Linked DNA regions of Caenorhabditis elegans. The protein of the gene in region 2 purifies or fractionates together with the protein of the main gene of each other region. This does not show direct contact. Each region holds a gene or a part of one and is shown on either strand. Other genes may lie near its edges.

Region 1 (3,839 bases), on a different chromosome or scaffold from region 2:
GTACCGGCGATTTATCATGCACTACTTTTTCAAAACGACTCGTGTTGAACCTGGAGAATCATCTTTAACACGTAATATCTATACTAGCAATGCTTATACTGGGTAAAATTCATTTAAAAAGGTTTTTGTAAATTGTATAAATAGCTTAAAAATTTGTTTACAACAATATGCCAGTTATGAGACAAAAATCGGAATAAATTAATTAAAATTCAAATATATCTCGAAACAAGTTCAAGAAAAATTTAGCCTTTCCAACATAATCAAATATTTTATGATGAAAATCATGGGAAGTAGACGCTGGGAACCTGGAGCCTTGTCTCCTCAAGCAGGCCTTCTCGTTTTGATGCATACATATAGGTAGACCTTATGGGCTCAGCAGGACACTATTCAGAAGGCGCAGGTGAGGCAGGCGGGTGAGGGCCTGCATAGAAGCTCTAGTTTAGCAAGATGAAGTATCTGGTACGGTAGCTAAAAACTTTTGATTGTGCCAGGACCCTATCATAATTTCTATCATTTGTGTTACATAACAAAACAGAAAACTTTTCATCATAATCATTTTTATTTCAATACAAAAAAGGAGTAGTCGATATCAAGTCTATGTTCTAGTGGAGCAAGTAAGCAGCTGGTCCTCCATTTTCCCAATCGTACGGAGCATTCTCGTTGGATCCGCAAGCACCATAAGCTTGACGCATCATTCCGTATATTGCTTGATAGTTGGGTGCATCATAGTATTTCATTGCATCAACCATACGCATAATATCCTGGAATTGTTGTGGGCATGGCGGTGGGAACAGGGTCCCAAGGTTGTTACGGATCGCTTGTTTGGCCTGACCAACTTGGTTCATGTCAGAGATATGTTGCCATGGAATTGTTCCGTGCGACAGTTCAACCTGCATGTACATCCAGGTCTCCAAGTCGTCCTTGCTGAAATTAGAGTCAATTAGATTTGGGATTGGGCTTGAGCACATACCGGCAAAGTTCTCTCTGAAGATGGCAACTGATTGGAGCGTACTTGACAGTTCCACGAAAACCAGCAGCTTGGCGTGGCTTTCTAATGGTTCCATCATTCCCAGTAAACTTTCTGCACATTCCAAAATCCAAAATGTAGACCTTGCGAATCTCGTTCAACTCGGGACGTCCAATCGTGTAATTTCCGGGTTTGACGTCACGATGAAGGTATCCAATGTTATGAAGATCCTCGAGTGCCTCCAACGATTGAATGCCGATTCCAATCGAGCAACCCATCGACATGTGCCCACCGACCCCAGCTTTATTCAAATCTTGAAGCGATTTTCCGACAAGTGTCATTACGACGTAGTTGAAGTTTCCAAAGCGTCCCTTGTCCTCGATCTTACAGAAATGACGATTTCCACGCTTTGAGAGCTCGTTGAGCACAGAAACTTCCAGTTTCAACACCTGAAATTATTCTTAAAGTCTCAGGTGAGAAATTGCGCTCCTACAGGCTTAAATGTAGAAATTGCGCTCCTACAGGCTTAAATGTGGCTTAGGCTTAGGATGGGACATAGGTCTACACGAAACACACATCATATGCGCTCTGTCGAACTCACAATTATTCGAGCGTTGGTTCATTTGCGCTCTAGTGTAAGAGTGAAACTTGAAACCGAACAATTCTAAGATTCTAAGAAGAATGACCGAAAGATTCCGAAAGATAGAAACAAAAACTGTTGCTCAAAAATGCAGAAAAAATTCAAATGAACAATTGTGCTGTGATGTACCTGGATCTGCTCATTGGCTCCTTCCACTTTCATCGCGTATTTGCCGGTTGCGTCGAATACACGGTACACCGCACCGAATCCTCCTTCTCCCAACTTCTTCTCGATGCTCCATCTCTCGACCTGAAAGCTTTGAAATTCGCGGGTCTCGCAGCGAACTCTCTCACTCACCTGTTGTCCGGGATTAAGCTGAATGAGCTCTTGGGCCATCTTGAATGTTCGTCTGACAAGCCGTTTGGTTTTTCAATGAAACTCCAAAATTGTAAGGATTGAATTGTTGGTTTTGAATTTCTGATTTTACCCTGGGGTGATGTTTGGGCGGAGCTTAGATGTGGAGCAAAGATAATGACACGGAGGTGGCCACGTTTTAAACTTTTTTGAAAAAATTATCTTCAATAAAGTTGCAATTAAAGAGATAATTTTTTAATCAATTAAAAAAAAACGTGACATTAAAAATTGAAAAAAAAAATGTTAAAGATGAAAATCATAAAACTGATTTGTTTCTTTTTCTACGCTTACAAAGGCCAAGGAGAGCATATGATACTTATTATTATAGAACGGAGTATAAGCTTATGCGCCTATTTGTTTTCAATTTTTTTATTTTTATTTTAAACCGGAAAAGGCAAAAGAAAAAATGCAAACATTTGATATGCAAAACTTTTAGGTTCAGATATAACAAACCAAAGCTCTTCTTACAGTAATTTTTGAACCCTTTTTGGATAACTTTTATTTATTTTTATAATGCTTTCAGTCTCCAATTTATTGAAATATAATTTTAGCAGAAGTGACTCAGAATTGAAGTTTAAGCACCTTATTTGAAAGTGCTTTATGAATCATTTTCAAAGAAATTCTTTTTAAGAGGTCAAAAATCAGACAATGGTCTGACTAAAGCTATTAAGCACAATGCTTATGCGCTCACTAATGACAGATTACCTAAAGAATGACAGATTACCTAAAATGAGAAATATATAGATAAACGATCATTTTATTGAGAAGGCGTGGAACCGAATGGAGAACAATCGAGAATAAAAACAATAGAGGATGGGATTAGAAAAGCAATATATAATGATTATACTTACCTATAATTTTTAGAAGCTTTTTTATTTCATGCTTTAAAAAATTTGGTTAAAAAATTTTTATTTTTTATTTTTTACAGTTTCAAGAGTTCACTTTATACGGTTTAGTAACCAGAATTTTCGTTCTTCTTTATTCGGTATGCGTTGTTTTTCAAAGGCGAAAAACTAAAGTTTACAATATATTTTTTGCTGTTTTTTTATTGAAAAAGCTAGGAAAACCTAGCCCGCTCAGATAATTATTTTGCGAAAATCTACAGAAATGACTAAAAGTAGCTGAAATTCAAATTCCGTGAATTTTCTAGTTTCATGCTCCGGCAACTATTTAAATGCGTACTAATTTTTGTTCATACTTATCCCCCAATGACGATTTCGCTTTTTTAAAATCCGTTAATTGATGCTCTAGTATATTCGAAAACTAGAATAAATTCAATAGTTTTGATCTCCATTTTCTTGTTTTTTATTTAAAAACTCACGTATTTCGAATAAATAGAGTAATAATCGTATTGTTCTATACAATTCTTCCATAAAATCAAAACACGATTTTTGATTTCGGAACTCTATTATTTACTTGGTTGACAAAATAACCAGGAAAGGAGGTGTTCTAGTTAGTATATTCAGAAGTTTTGAACTTTTATCACACAAATGAGACTTCCTTATTTTAAAATTGTATCCATTATGTAGTACGTTCCAATTAATCATTTTAAATGCATACCCAGACAGGGTACAAAACTTTATAGTTAAATATTTTTTTTTCTTTGAATAAGAAATGTATTTGTATCTCAATATAAAAAAGATTCTTAAATTGTCAACCACATTAGCTCGAACCATTACATAAATACCCTGAAACCGTTTTTTCTTTTTCAGAAATCAAAGTCATGTTTGATTTTGCTGTTCTCTTCTCATGTGCTCATGCCATAATTTCCGTGCTTGGAATGTGTTTCAATGCCTTGTTAGCCTACTTGGCACTGTTCCAAACTCCACGTGTCATCAAGTCATATGCCACGTTAATCGTTAACTTTGCAATAACTGA
Region 2 (4,742 bases):
TACTGTAGAGGACTATAGGTATATTGTTGGGGGACTATTGTAGCAGTACTGGGGGGATACTGTTGGAAAACTGTAGGGGCTGCATAGTTACTATAGGGCTATTGTAGGGTCACTGTGAGAATACATTAGGATTACTGTAGATATCACGGGGGTACTGTAGGGTTTCTTGCAAATCAAATAAATTTTCAGCTCTACGAGATCAATTTCCTGCCTGACACGAAAGAGAAAGGTGGTCAGTGCCACCGGAAATCGCGGGTAAATGGTGAGGGAAAGACTCTGATGATCGTAGAAACAGATCATACTGGTATGGCAGTTGAACCATGGAAGGTTATTGATTTCGATGGGTTTGAAGAGAATGTGATTAGCAAGGTAGGTATTTTGGTGTTTGCCTATCTAGTAGGCACGTAGGCAGGCAGGCTCCGGTAACTAAAATTTAAAATTTTAGACAATAGTCGTCGTTGAAAAGTCAACTCAAACAATAGTGGATTGCGGGTCAATTCGTCTTGCAACTGCTTCTTCAAACTCATCAACAACACGAACTTCATCCTCAACAGGGCTTAAATTCACAACGGGTCTTCTCATCATTCTCGTCGTCTTTCTTTTTCTGTAACCAGCTTGTAGATATATAAATGTATGTATTAAAAAAATTATTAAAAGTATGTATACATAGATTAATAAATTACGGGGAGTCAATATTATCACAGAGTCGGCGAAAAAAAATTTCAAATAATAGCTACAGTGTACTCCAGCTTCAACGTGAAGTATCCGGATAGGTTCTGGAATTCGAAGGAAATTTCTGAATCCGAGACATTGTCCAGGCTTCCTTCTTCGTTGAGTTTGTTGGTGATGAGATGGAGACTTGGGAAGACGAGATCGTTGCGGTTCTAAAAATGGGAAAAATGTTACTGTTGGGTAGCTGTTGGGGTACGGTGGGGTACAGTAGTTTACTGTAGGGCTAATGTGGGATTACTGTAAGAACACTATAAGGTTACTGTAGAATTACGGTAGGCTTACTGTTGTGTGTGTTGTTTTAACCGTAGCTGCTGGGGTACTGTAGTGTTTCTGCAGGGTTACTGCAGGAGCACTGCGTGGTTGCTGCAGGGCTACAATCGAATTACAACAGGGTTACTGTAGAACTACTGTAAGTATCATGGTAGGGTGCTGTAGGAGTACGATAGGGTACTGTAGGAGTACTGTAGGGGTACTGTAAACTGCAGGGTTAAAGTCTGGTTACAAAATATTTACTGTAGAGCTACCGTAGAGATACTGTGAGGCTACTCAAGGATTACGGTAAGTTTCCTGTAGATTCACTGTAGGAGTACTGTAGGGGAACTGTATGGTTACTGTAAAGCAATAGTTCTATATAAAAACTTACATTGCCTCTAAAAATAGCAAATTGAAGTTCTCCACTAGCCGTGAAGTCCCACAGAAGCTTCTTTCCGTTTGGCACTTGAATCTTGAACACGAACTTTTCGGCCGGAGAAACATCCTTGTGACTCGACTTTGGACGATCGATTCCGTGCTCTTTGTAGTGTTGATATGGCTTGTAATAGTCGGCAGACGTAATTTTTCGACGGACCGAGACCCCCGTCTCGTCGCCTGGGGGTACTGTATTCACGAATTCGCCTGGAAAACGGGTGTAGGCTTAGGCTCAGGCTTATTTTGGCCTACCTCCATATTCCTTTGGCACCAACCAGGGCGGCAAGAACTTCCCCGCCAAGTCGGATTTATCGGAAATAATCTCAATCCTCTTCAAATTTTCCTCCGACAAGAAAACCCGAGCAACTTTCCACAGAAGCCCGAGTAACCGTGGTGGATTGGTCAAATAGATTCGTTGGACCATTTCTGGGAACCTGAACTGGTATTTTTTATATTTTTAGCCCGTTCATAATGTTAACTAACCAATCTTGCCAAAGCTCGCTTCGAATTTGCCAGAGCTTCATGTAGCCCGACATTGGGTTCACCTGAAAGTTTCTAGATTAAATTTCATTTTTTCCAAGTTTCCAGAAGTTTCCAAAAAACTCAAGCAGTTTTTGAAATCTTCAAAAGAAAGGTTTCCAGGAGATTTTAGGTTTTAGAATTTTCTAACATTTTAACGAGCTTTCAGAAGTTTCCAACACGTTTCAGACAACTCTAGAATCTAAAAAATTTTCAATAAAAATAAGTGTGACGTCACAAAACTCAAAATTAAATTTTCCTCGATTTTTGGAGGCCATAACTGATATTTTGTGAATTTTTTAGAACAAAAAACCCACATAATCCGTAATATTAACAGTGTTGAGATCGAAAATAACAATAAATTGAACGGGTCCCTTATCAGCTGACTGCTTCTTTTCCCGTCTTAAAATGAGCTGCTGGAGCATTTCAGAGTATCCGAAGCAATGAAGTAGGTAATCACTTGTTTTGAACGTTTTTATGAACTGAAAAATCAATATGTCAATTTTTAGAGGCGTTCGCGGGCGTTAGGCAGTAGGTACAAAGCAGGCACGCCTACCTCCTTAGGCTGTGACCATGCTCTTTCCACAAACAAGAATGCATTATGCTCATCAGACCATTGTCTATCCTGAAGCCTTGATGACGCAATAAATTGTAGAAATGGAGCAATACTTGGTAGCTCGAAAAACTTTTCCGCAAAATCATTGCCAACGAAACCGGCGGCCTTCCTGGACGCCAAGTACGTGGCAAAGTTCTTGACAAGCTTCTCTGTATCCCCATGATATCCACGTATCCAACGACATAGGTTTAGGTCAGTATTTACATCATCTGGAATTCCATCTGGAAGCTTTTCCTGAAGCATTGCTCTCACTGAATTGATTTGAGAACGCTCCGAGTCGGTGATTGGTTCGGATGATCGGAATTCGGTTTTTGCGCCCATTTTTGCTGAAAAAATTGAAAAAAGGTTGGAAAAAAAATTAAAATTTGCGCGTAAGATATGGTGCATCGGGTCCGCAACTCAATGCACCATATTTTACTTGGAGTTTGTAGAGCAGAAAGAAGCCAGAGAAAAAAGTTTTAAATAGAAAAATTAGAATAATTTTAACATAAAGAGGAAAATTTAAAAAAATTTGGGGGGGGGGAGGTTCTTAACACTATCACATTTTCTCATAAAATATAATGCATTGAGTCCACAACTAAATGCACCATGTTTGATGGGCAAATTAATTTCCAATTTTCTAAATTTTAAGACAAAAATCACGACAAATATTCTGAATGGAACAGGAACAGGGGGGGAATAAAAAAGGAAATGAAACCGGTTCCAGTTAAGGAATGGTGGTAAATGTTAACGGAAGAAGAAGAAAACGTAATGGAAATTTATGTAAAGGCAAACAGGAGACGAAGGAATTTAATGGATTCTGAAGGAGGGAAATTTGAATGAAAGTCTAAGTTATCTTGAATTATTGAACACTATACCATCTTTGACTTAAAATATAAAAAATTGTTTTAAAATTTAAAATTTTATTAGAAAATATTTGTTTCTTAATATGTTTTTGAGCACTTTTTAATATTTTTAAACTAATTTTTTTTCAGAAAAATCATTTTTCTTCCAGATTTTTCTTTTGGTTTTTTTAAAGCTTTTTTTATATGTTCAGATATTTTCCAAACTTTTGTAGAATTTTCATCATACGCAACACAATAAGTAACAAATATTTCTGTAATTGAACAATTTTATTGAAAAAATTAAATTTTAAATTTAATATTTCATTGAAAAAAAACCACATAAAACCCAAAAATTAGAATATTAAAAAATAAGATGGAAAAAAATCAATTTTACACATAAATTTTGAAAATACTACTCAAAAGATCAGGTTTTGGAGTTATCCTAAATACTTTTTAATTTACAATTTTTCAGAATAATGATTTTTTTCCTAGAAATTCCTGTAAAGTTTCTAGTTTTTTGGTTTTTGGAGGAAATAAATATTTTTCAAATTAAAAATGAAATCGGGTCTAAAAAGTTTAAATTTAAATTAAACATTTTTTTTAAATAAAAAATTAATATTTTTCTTTTAAAAATCTTGAAAAATTGGAAATTGTAAGAAAAACTACATAAAAACTGAAAAAATATTTTTTTAAAAAATTAAAAAAAAACAAATCTTTTTGAAAGACTTTTACGAGATTACAAAATCTATTAGAAAAAAAATTCAAAATTTGTCCAATGAAAATTCCAAAAAGTGAATTGTTTCAAAAAGAGATCCATGACATCCGGAAAGAATAGAATAAAAAGTGGATAATAGGTGTCATCTTTTGCCTGTACGCGCGCGTGTCTAATTATCAAATCCTTCCATCTTCTTCGGGAAAAGTATTCCGGTCAGTGAGTGTGTGGGGGAGGGAAAATTGGAACATTTGGGAAGGCGGTAGGGTGGGTGAGGGAGAAATTAAGATGAAATTGAAAGATCTTTTCACTCAAAAAGTTACTATTTAGATATATGTGTAGTCATCCGTGTCCACGGATTCCTGTTTTTGAAGAGGCGAGATTTAGAGAACGAAAGTCTTTTTGCAAATTATATATATTCATATGAGTAAGTAGGCAGCCAGGCTTTATGCCTACGTACCTGCCTACCGCCTATCTCCGAATAGGCTTAGGTAATCTTTAATGTTGGTAGGCATCTGTAGGCAGGCATCTATAGTCAGGTGATTTAATGCTTAAAAGCCAAACATTTTTTTTTAATATGGTATATTGGATCGGTTGAAACATGGTGCATCGAAAAAAGTGGTGTTTGTTTTTTTAAAATACAGAAAATTTT
Region 3 (3,774 bases), on a different chromosome or scaffold from region 2:
TATGAAAATATTACAGGCTGTGACCGGTCCAATAATAAAAGAAGAGGATATTCCATTTGAAGAGACTGTCGAGTGTTCATCCACGACTGCTGTGAATGGAATTTTACCTAAATGTTTCCGACAGCCGAGAAAACAGAAACTTGAAGAAGATTCGTGTTCATCTTCAATTCTTCGAATTATCAAGAAAACCACACCCAGTCTTCCAAATAGATCATATACAATGATTAACCAAAACATGGAACATCCACTACAATGCTGCTACTGCTTGGAAGTGTACGAAAAGCGATACATGACGCAAGTTCCAAAAACCGAGCAACGAATTGCCAGATGGGTGGCAATATTAGGAGAACAATTCCGTATACGTCTTCGAATGAAACCTGCAAATTACATGTGTCGAAAACATTTCCCGCAAGCGGATTTCAGTTCTCGTGGACGACTTCTTAAAACAGCTGTTCCAAATGTTGTTTCCCAGGAGAAAGTACTGGCATTCAAGCTTGAAGGAAACACGTTCGTTGAAGTCAAAGAAGACAATACGAATATCAAAATGGAAAAGGGAACGGACTCGGAAATAGATATAGAAAATTAGAGCCAAGCTCGCATTGTTTTGTTGTTATTTGTTTTTAGATTCTCGTGTTTTGTTTTTTTGTAATAAACTTTATTTTCAGATTTTCATAACATATTGGGGGTACAGTTAGATACAAAATATAAGTAGTCAAATTCCACTTATTTTCGGAACTGATAAAATCTATTGACTTCCTTGAATGAATCCTCCAGCGTAGATCTTTCCATCCTCTTCAACAGCGTCAGCGGCCTTGAGCATAGTTCCAGCAGCATAAACATCTCTGTTGACAGTGAACTGGCAAACTTGCTCAACTTGAGCGAATTGTTTGACAGATGGAGTAGTCCAGCATCCGAACGCGCGGAAATCAGCAAAACTGGCCGGGGTCTCTCCATTGACACCACCTCCAAGGACATTCCAGTACCAGAGGAGAACATCATTTCCAATGCTGCTCCATCCGTTGGTGATCTGGTTCCAGTCGTAGTAGGAAGTGTAGATTCCGACAGTCATTCCATATTGCTGTAAATTATATGAATTTTGATATGAAATTTGTTGCAGAAGTATGAACTAATCGGTTCAGTTTAAAAACGTCTTAACCCAAAGGTCTTATCAGATTAATCAATGTTTTAGACTATAATACGAATCATTCGAGTTTTCGTATTTGAATGTATTTCAATTCCTTGAGCAAAAAATCAAGCTTCTACAGGAAACTTACTCTAGCTCTTGACACAATACTGTTGATAAAGTTGACATTGTTATTAGCATTGCTTGGCCAGTTGGTTGGAGAAGTGACCTGGATCCATACAGATCTGATTGTTATTCCTCTTGCAGTCAATCCTTGGTAGATCTCATCCAATTGTTGGTATCCTTGCTTGCTTGAAGCCGGCTGTGGAGTCATGTAGATCTCTGTTCCGAGTCCAGCGTTATACGCATTCTGAATAGTATTGCAGGAGTTGGTGTCGAAGGATCCTTGTCCAGCTGGGTTGTATGCACTGGAAATTCGATTTAATTGTTATGGAGTTTTAGAAAATGTTCATCAAATTATGAACGTTTGGAATCGAAAAATGAATTAATCAGAAACGAAAGCAGGCAAATGTTTGCCCAAGTTTGGCCAAAAATATTAAAAAGGTTCTGAAGTGACAATACATGACCAGAACTTGTTCTGGTTTAGCTCAAGTTTAATTCAACTGTTGACAATATCTTTACACTTGGGCCAACCTTGGGCAAAAAAAGATTCAACTTTTTTTTATAAATAACAATTTATAGATAGGTAAATCATAAAATCTTTTTCAATTCTTACCGGACAAAGACTGCCGAATAACCAGCTTGTTTGAGGCACTGAAGCTGGCTCAATGAAACTGGAACAGACAAATCAACAGCGAAAGCATATGAAGCCAAATTTGGTGGAACTCGTGGAGCAGCCTCAGCAATGACTTCTCTGAATTTGACTGGAAGAGATGAGTCAACGAATGGAAGGACCTTGACGGAGACTGAAGCCGAATGGCAAAGTACTGCCAGTACTGACAAAAGAGCCACTGATTTGAGAAGCATTCTAGAAAATGTTCAACTTGAATGAGTTAAGAGAAAATTATTAACAAAAAGAACAAAGAATAAGAAACCAAATTTTATAAAAATCAAATACTAAACCGAAATGTTGAAGAAACTGGAGTGGTTATCATGATTTATAGTCTTTATCAAAGAGCTGGCAAGTACCGCTTGTCCATCTGAATTTATAATTTCGGAAAACATTATCATGATATCACACTCTGTTATCAGTAACTGTGTACACACTTTTATGTCATTAATGTCGATGAAAAGAACATCACAAATTATGTGGAATACCGGTAATTGAGCGTGGGCGTTTTGATGATTTTTTCTAGGTTCAAATTCTCGTAAATGACAATTTGTTGTCTTTTATTAAATTGATAGTTCATAAGTGAACACAATTTTTTTCTGACTAACAGATAGTGGTAAGATTTTCAAAGCGATTATGCATATGTTTTACGTTCAACTTTGACCATAACAGCGAAGAAAATTGAAAGTTCTTGAAAACTAGAACTGTAAAATGTATGATATTCTCCTTCAGCACTATACCAATTCTTTTATACAAAAATCCCATTTGCAGCTGAATAAACATTCTCCTTCTTGTTCCATAATTTTTCCCATTTCACTATATTTTTACCGTTTAACATGTCTGTTTAAACTGTACTAACATCCAACGATAGCCCCTGTGAGCAATCCAATTGTTTAAAAATCATTAATCTATTTTTAATGTGAATTCAATTAGTCGAGATTTGTCTTTGGATGGAATAAAAACGAAGATGACGAGTTTAAGAAGTGATGTCATTTCCAGAGGAACAGAGAGTAAAGAATTCGAATTGTTGAAACAGCTGAAATTGTAGATCCATTTCGAGATCAATTTAGTATTTGATAATGAAAAGTGACGTGTCTGTCTATTCATTGAACAAATAACAAAAACGATAAATTTTAGTCCTGAAGCCAATTATTGGTATTTTCTAAAAACTTTGAAGATTTTTGATCCATTATTAATTTCAACTAATTCTTGGCCAAATTGTTGAATTCTTCAGTTAACGTATATTTACTTAACTTTAAAGTGGCTTCAATTATATCCAGGGACCTCTTTAGGCTCTCCTACCTACATTGGGTTTTCAGTATTTTAGTTTCCATCCGTACTTGCCTGCCACATGTCTACCTTCATGCCTGTCGTCGATGTTCTGTATTTCTTTCGTGATCCTACTGCCCGCCTGCCTGTCTATGTGCCTACCGCCTATTTCATTACTTTTAATATTATGCCACATTTTGATGTTCCAGATATCATATAGCTTGTTCTATATCCAATGTTCCTTTGAAAATTGAAAAATCAGAAATTCAATGATATCGTAAAAAAACGAATATATATTCTTTTTTAGCTTCTTCCTGTATTTACTTATGTTTTTTCCTTCTGAATACACACACATTTCTCTCTCACTTTATTATCATAAATCATCATAAAAAAATCATTGGTGACGTCAAAGTTTACATTTTTGGAGGTGCTGTGAAGAATTGTTGAAAGTCGAAGTTCTCGGTGTGATATGAAGACTTTGGAGGTTGTCGTTCAGCGATTTGATGCCAAGTGAAAGCGGATGTACGATGGAAAAACTGAAATGATAATTTGTGTAAATAAATAATATATTCAAAAAAAACTAACGCTCAAC

Evidence for each region.
Region 1: the proteins of C34C12.6 (region 2) and ttbk-8.2 fractionate together in Caenorhabditis elegans (co-fractionation; one large-scale study listed by BioGRID). This does not show direct contact.
Region 3: the proteins of C34C12.6 (region 2) and lys-8 fractionate together in Caenorhabditis elegans (co-fractionation; one large-scale study listed by BioGRID). This does not show direct contact.

The regions. Positions count from the first base shown.
Region 1 is NC_003282.8:5,630,085-5,633,923, reverse strand, and holds ttbk-8.2 (non-specific serine/threonine protein kinase), read right to left. Parts: upstream 1,997-3,839; 5' UTR 1,944-1,996; coding exon 1,905-1,943; intron 1,857-1,904; coding exon 1,737-1,856; intron 1,579-1,736; exon of another isoform or gene 1,558-1,578; intron 1,417-1,557; coding exon 971-1,416; intron 925-970; coding exon 603-924; 3' UTR 545-602; downstream 1-544. Other genes in the region: srd-13 (G_PROTEIN_RECEP_F1_2 domain-containing protein), read left to right, coding at 1-106; srd-12 (G_PROTEIN_RECEP_F1_2 domain-containing protein), read left to right, coding at 3,685-3,839.
Region 2 is NC_003281.10:3,480,729-3,485,470, reverse strand, and holds C34C12.6 (CRAL-TRIO domain-containing protein C34C12.6), read right to left. Parts: upstream 2,881-4,742; 5' UTR 2,876-2,880; coding exon 2,495-2,875; intron 2,421-2,494; coding exon 2,256-2,420; intron 1,965-2,255; coding exon 1,903-1,964; intron 1,854-1,902; coding exon 1,672-1,853; intron 1,627-1,671; coding exon 1,376-1,626; intron 885-1,375; coding exon 723-884; 3' UTR 628-722; downstream 1-627. Other genes in the region: C34C12.7 (PAN/Apple domain-containing protein), read left to right, coding at 190-369, 446-610.
Region 3 is NC_003280.10:5,584,515-5,588,288, reverse strand, and holds lys-8 (LYSozyme), read right to left. Parts: upstream 2,112-3,774; 5' UTR 2,111-2,111; coding exon 1,860-2,110; intron 1,552-1,859; coding exon 1,275-1,551; intron 1,079-1,274; coding exon 746-1,078; 3' UTR 638-745; downstream 1-637. Other genes in the region: C17G10.13 (THAP-type domain-containing protein), read left to right, coding at 17-586.